Linked DNA regions of Saccharomyces cerevisiae S288C. Changing the gene in region 1 together with any one later gene gives a genetic interaction. Each region holds a gene or a part of one and is shown in the gene's direction. Other genes may lie near its edges. The genes, in order: YLL066W-B and PPS1.

Region 1 (3,007 bases):
ATATTTCATGACATAAGCGCAACTGATGCAAGTCCCTGAATTCAAAGGAGCTGCCAAAGAGTTTCTGGCCTGCGACGAGGATATCGTTTGTACTCTTGGGCTCTCGGGGCCTTTTTCGCGTTACTCTTGAAATTTTTTGATCATGATCTGAACTCGCCGCCTCACCTGCCACTACGTCTTCCGCATTCCGAGTACTAGAGAATGAACAATGGTAGTCGCTTTCAAGGCCTAACCATTGAATCCAGCGCTCGGAAGTGAGTCCGTCAAGCGTCTTTAGTCGAGGCTCCGATGAACCGTTCTTGTTGTATCGTCGACGTATACGTTGCGCTGTAGCTCTGGATAACGGTAAGCGTATCACCGTAAGCTCGTCAATTATTTTTGAGAGCCGCGGTCATTTTGTTAGTATCTCTTCTCAACTTGGGCAGCACACATGCAAAACATCACCCAATCGGTCCTTTTTGTTCATCATATCGTTACATATCTGTGAAAAGTACTTTATCTCAATGGGTTTACGTGGGCATAGATCACGCTTCAGCCGCTCTGTGTCGACTTTCTTTTCGCCAGGTAAACTTGCTTGGTATGCAGAAAAAATCGATAGCTCATCTACGTGTAGTAACAAAAACATGTGGGGTGCCAAATTGTACCCATATCTCCTTATGGTGCTTTTCTGAAGACTCCTTACAATAGGTGCGCCAGAAACAAAGTCAGTGAAAGTACGCATCGTAGAGCTGTCGTTCGGCCTGGCACTCGCTATTTCGTGACAACGTTCCAGGACACGGAAACTCAACTCATTATAGTATCCTCTGTTGAGGTAAAAAAGAGAAAGGGTATCGTAATCCTTTCTATTGAATTTCAAAGTATGCACTTGAAACAACGTGTAGACCATCAAGTTGATTTTCTTGGGAATAAGATACTTTGAAGGGATTGGTCCGCCCTGGAAATCTGGTTCGTCTTCAACAAACGTCAGGAACTTTTGTACATTTTTCCCGACCATGACGGAAACGACAATTTTTTCAAAAGACCTTTTCCTATCCATTGCACCAGTTCTGAATTTTACCACTTTGATTAGGCCAGACTTTTCGTCTTCGTAGAATGACCGCACTTCCGTGGGGATCGATTCAAATAAAGTTATTGAGGGACAATGTACCAAGTCGTTTTTGTTATTTAGAGCCGACTCAAACTCGTCAAAGTTTGCTTTTTCAAACTTACGCCTATCGGAAACTTTCATTTTATTTTTGTAAGTTTCGAAATTAACAATAGTATGTTGATTGTTATGCTTTTTGACAAGAAATCCATCAATATAAACAAAAGATTGTCCAGTTTCCGTCTTATCATCATCTAAGAATGTAATAATTAAGCTACTCTATTGAGAAGAAGCAGAATCTGCGCTATGCAGGTGCAAATCTCCAGCAGCAGCAAAGAAAATTCAGTTAATAAGAAATCTCACTAAGATAAGCGACTGTCTGTCCCAACATAGAAAACAGAAGGATGTCTCATTCATCCTTGATTTCCGGCCTGCAAAAATAAAGTAGTCGGTACGTACGTTCGTTTTCAATTTCCATGGTGCACAGTATCTTAACTATCTGCTTAGTCGAGGAGAACCAGGATTCTGTTCGTTGCTCAGCCGCTTCGTGGATATTCTCTTGGATACTTTAAATATGGACCTACGCTTAGCCTGCGCTTAGCCTACAACTTCTTCCGCTCTCGAAAAGACCAATATAATAGAAAGTTATAAATTACATTTCCTTATTAGGTATACGACCTCGCGCTTCGAAGTAGAGGAGCCCTTTTTGGCGTACCTACATATGGCGCGTCAGACAGACAAACTTCCCCCAAAAATGTATTACCCTGCCGAATAAGAAAACAGACCCATTCACCCACGACGTATCAAGTTACTTCCTTGGTGCAATGTCCCACTATAAAAAAATTCCTTGACGCTAGATCGTTGGACTAAAATCTGCGTCACAATCGCCTAAACAGGAAATATTGCCTATTTTCGTACAAGGTTACTTCCTAGATGCTATATGTCCCTACGGCCTTGTCTAACACCATCCAGCATGCAATACAGTGACATATATATACACCACACCCACACACCACACCCACACCACACCCACACCCACACACACCACACACCCACACACTCTCTTACATCTACCTTTACTCTCGCTGTCACACCTTACCCGGCTTTCTGACCGAAATTAAAAAAAATGAAAATGAAACCCTCTTCTTTAGCCCTACAACACTTTTACATAGCCCTAAGTAGCCCTCATGTACGTCTCCTCCAAGCCCTGTTGTCTCTTACCCGGATGTTCAACCAAAAGCTACTTACTACCTTTATTTTATGTTTACTTTTTATAGATTGTCTTTTTATCCTACTCTTTCCCACTTGTCTCTCGCTACTGCCGTGCAACAAACACTAAATCAAAACAGTGAAATACTACTACATCAAAACGCATATTCCCTAGAAAAAAAAATTTCTTACAATATACTATACTACACAATACATAATCACTGACTTTCGTAACAACAATTTCCTTCACTCTCCAACTTCTCTGCTCGAATCTCTACATAGTAATATTATATCAAATCTACCGTCTGGAACATCATCGCTATCCAGCTCTTTGTGAACCGCTACCATCAGCATGTACAGCGGTACCCTCGTGTTATCTGCAGCGAGAACTTCAACGTTTGCCAAATCAACCCAATGTGGTAACAACCACACCTCCGAAATCTGCTCCAAAAGATATTCCAGTTTCTGCCGAAATGTTTTATTGTAGAACAGCCCTATCAGCATCGACAGGAATGCCGTCCAATGCGGCACTTTAGATGGGGTAACTCCCAGCGCAAGCTGATCTCGCAAGTGCATTCCTAGACTTAATTCATATCTGCTCCTCAACTGTCGATGATGCCTGCTAAACTGCAGCTTGACGTACTGCGGACCCTGCAGTCCAGCGCTCGTCATGGAACGCAAACGCTGAAAAACTCCAACTTTCTCGAGCGCTTC
Region 2 (3,936 bases), on another chromosome or scaffold:
CATGAGAGTCATCATCCATTTCATCCATACCCTTTTCCAATTCGTTTTCCAGAATGGCAGAGTCCTTATGATCTGTGGCATACATGGAAATCCATTCGTCTTCTTCCAGTTCCACTGGCCTGAAAATTCCTGTATTTAAAGATTTTTTTTCTTTAGTATCCAATGATGCACTGCCCATGAATTTTAGGATAAAATACACCTGGTCCATTGAAGCTGTGTCGGGCAATAGGTCCCATTTTTTAACCATCTTGACACCCTTCTTCACCGGATGTTGCCATTTGTCCGTCTTATTGAATGTTCCTTCGACCCTACTAATTATATGATTAACATCAAGGTTTTCATCATCCGAATCTCCATCATCCAAGCGCCTTTTCCTTTTCAACGATGTGTTATCATGGGCTGCAATTGTATTGGAGACATATTCGGTGCGTCTCAAGAAGGTAACCTTTGATATATCAGTCTTGGTCAGTCTATCTATTCTAGGGTCCCTCAGTAAAATTCGATCATCTTTGTCCAATTTCACATTATCAAAGCCGTAAAGCAGTTTAGAATCTAATTTGTTCAATAGGCCTGGGAATTTCATCAAATCAACCGGCATACCTAAATCTTCATCCTGTTGAATTAGATTAGTGACGTTTGTTTTGATGTATAGTGAATTGATTAGTTGGGAGGAGTCTGCATTCGTCTCCGGAGACTCGGGGTAAACCAGAAGTTTAGGAGGTAATTGTGGCACAGGCAAGCTGTTTTGGTATTTTATTGGTGCAATATATTCCTGTTTTTTGGACATTGTGACCCTTTATACTATTATGAGCACTGTTCTATTGTACTGAATACATTTCTGTCTATAATTAACAACGTATCAATAATGACAGTATTAATTCATCCAATGTTACAGTCGTCATTTTTTTCTTTTTCCATTTCAGAAAGACAAATTAAGTTATTCGTGTAATGTGATTATTATTTTAAAGCCCTTGTTTTTCTTCCCTACATAACAGCTCTAACCTACAAAATATTAATTATCCCTAAGCTTTTTCGAGATGTCCTTTTAAAATAGTAAGTTCAAGGTTAGGGTTCTCATTGCGTGTATGTATATGTATAACATATTGCATCGAATAGTAATTACATAGCAATAATAGCAACAACACTAAGGATCGGTGCTTTTCGTATGGTCAACTTCGATATCAGAAGAGTCGGAGTGTTCTCCTACGTCTAGTGCGGATTTATACTGGAATCTCGACAGCAAGCTTGCCACACTGCGCGTGGATTTATCATTTTGTTGATCTTTACTATCATCAAGAAGTTCTTCATTGTGTACGGGCTCTTCTTCTTCGGATACCTCGTCTTCTTCTTCTTCTTCCTCTACACCATCATCCTCATGCAATTCAGGCTCTTCTATAACAACCTCTTGATCGCTCCGACCCGGTTGCATGTTTAGTTCTCTCTTCTTGTCGAGTGCGCTATTCTTCTTCAGTTGTTTAATGGCATCCTCTAGAAACCTGAAATTATCTCTTTTTTCGACACATTCTTCTATAGAATTTAGGCTTAATCGTAGGCTTGTCTTTCCTTTCGAATTCAGTTGTGCTAAGACCAGCGATTCTTCGACGAGATTCTGTACAAATAACTCAGCAGCGAATGCGGTCGCTGATATAGCTACATTAGATGTAATTACGTATTCGGGGTCGCATTTGGCAATCTTCTTTACTTTAGATATAGGAAAGACAGGTGCTTTTTCTTTAACTAAGTTGGACATTTTTTTTGCAACACGGTTGACCCTTGCTTGTTTTTATCTGTTGGGGCAGGCAGTTGTTAAGGCCATTAATTTCGCGTAATAAAAATAAATTATTACTTCAAAAGCATCATGGAAACATAATTGCAAGAGTTTTTAAGGTTCAAAAAGAAAAGTACAAGAAGAAGTAAAAAAGTGAAAAGAAACACCAACCATAAAAGAGAGATTGTCATTGAGGTAGAAGGGGCGGGTATAGAAAACTAGAGCAACAACCATGGTTTTGGAAGTGCCCTCAATCACACCTGGTGAACTGCATGATCTTATGCGACTACATCAGGATGCAGAATGGCCTGAATGTAAAAAAATGTTCCCCTGGGCTCATGATATTTCCTTTGGTCAACCACCCGATTTTCCTCATTCTCTTGCAATAGTCAAATCGCAATCAGATGCTAACAATTCTGCGCTTTTGCGTAATTCTCTCGAAGTGAATGATATCTTCCAGTCCTGGAAAGTTCGCACTTCCTTTCATAGAGAGGGCGATACCTGTGAAACTGGAAATGATTCTAATGGTTTTCAATATCCCAATAACACAAAGGAACTTTTGAACTTGCTAAAGTTTCAGATACGACAATTGGAATTGCAAGTGGATGATGTTGCTTTGGAAAACGCTGCTACTTATTGTCACAATCATAGCATTTTACCATTTCTGAAAGTAGATCCTCGTGGACTATCATTAGAACTTAAAAGGTATTCTAGAAACAAGGTTGGGTCTAATACCACGCTAAAACGGAGTGGGCAGGACGTCTGGGGAAGGAGAGGTCTATTCCGAAGGTTCGACCTGCAATGTGCCAAGATGATAGAAATGGTTGATAATATAGTAATTTATTGTTCGCGGACTGGTGGCAGCACTGATATGCAAACAGAATCAGCGCCAGCGTGCTCACACGAGGGAAATTGCCCCAATTGTACAACCCTTGCACTACTTTTACAGATCTGTTTAATGTTTGTTCAAAAGGGTTATGTAGGGAGTGGAGGATCGCTTTACAAGACGAATCTTTTTATTTGCACTTATCAGAATTTCAATACAGATATACCTCAAACTTTGATTGGTACACCTTTATTAGACAACGAATTTTTCAAGAATAATACTCCCTTGAATTTATGTTCGTCACCTAGTGAAATAGTGTGTTTCAATAACGTTGATAAGAATATGGTTTTGTGCGAGAAGTTAGAGTTGAATAAGCTGACTTCAGCTACACGATTGGAGGAAACAGGGTTGATTTGCGGTAACACCACTGATTGGCATAATTATCAAATAATTAAAAAAAACAATATATCTCTGACCCACCGTTTCGAAGAGAATACAAGCATAGTAAATTTAAAGTCTCTAAATTATGATACGGACAATCCGACAACCTCCATTTCTCAACTGTATAACATACCGAATACAAAAGAGGTGTGGAAATTGATCATAAAATGTACGTCAAACTCGCAAATGCCGTCGTTAACGAAAATCCGAACATATCTAGATCTTTTATTAGACGATGATGCGTCAAAATCACAAGAGCATTTGCATTTGACTTTCCCTGCCTCAGGTAGTATAGGTTTGGGGAACTTAAACATTCAGTCTGTGGAAATTCTTTTGAATGTTTGTTATTTAATATTTCAAGTATCCCAAGTTCAAGAATTATTGACGTTCATGTATTGCGAAGACGGATATACAGAAACGTCATTATTATTAACAGCTTATATTATATTCCACTTTAATATTCCGTTACAAGACGCTCTTTTGAGGATCCATCCAAGACCATTTTTCCTTTTTCCATCAGACTTGCAAATTTTAGGCCATTTACAACCTGTCCTGCGGGAGTTTAGTCCGCAGAATGGAAGTAATCTAAAATTATATGCCAATGCATTGAAATTTAGGGATAAAAGCTTTCAATTACACATTTCTTCAGAGCTTTTTAGTAGCATATTTTTTATGAAGATTCCTCTTGAGTCTAATTTCGTTAATTTGAAGGGCCCACTGCCATCCCGGATTCTACGTCACTTGTATTTGGGATCCCTGGATCATGCACAAAATCCTGCCTTACTTAAGTCTCTAGGAATTACGCATATAGTTTCTGTCGGTGAAGTTGTTTCATGGACATTGAATAAGGATAAAATTGCTCATCCTGTAAGGCCACATCGTGCAATAACTATGACGAATA

The links.
Region 2: mutations in YLL066W-B (region 1) and PPS1 together harm fitness less than expected from each alone (positive genetic interaction), as found in Saccharomyces cerevisiae (one large-scale study listed by BioGRID).

The regions. Positions count from the first base shown.
Region 1 is NC_001144.5:3,581-6,587, forward strand, and holds YLL066W-B (uncharacterized protein), read left to right. Parts: upstream 1-2,024; coding exon 2,025-2,195; downstream 2,196-3,007. Other genes in the region: YLL067C (Y' element ATP-dependent helicase), read right to left, coding at 1-335, 435-721; YLL066C (Y' element ATP-dependent helicase), read right to left, coding at 2,540-3,007.
Region 2 is NC_001134.8:758,108-762,043, reverse strand, and holds the start of PPS1 (tyrosine/serine/threonine protein phosphatase PPS1), read left to right. Parts: upstream 1-2,000; coding exon 2,001-3,936. Other genes in the region: PAF1 (Paf1p), read right to left, coding at 1-787; DPB3 (DNA polymerase epsilon noncatalytic subunit), read right to left, coding at 1,145-1,750. UniProt on the Saccharomyces cerevisiae protein: Protein phosphatase with specificity for serine, threonine, and tyrosine residues; has a role in the DNA synthesis phase of the cell cycle.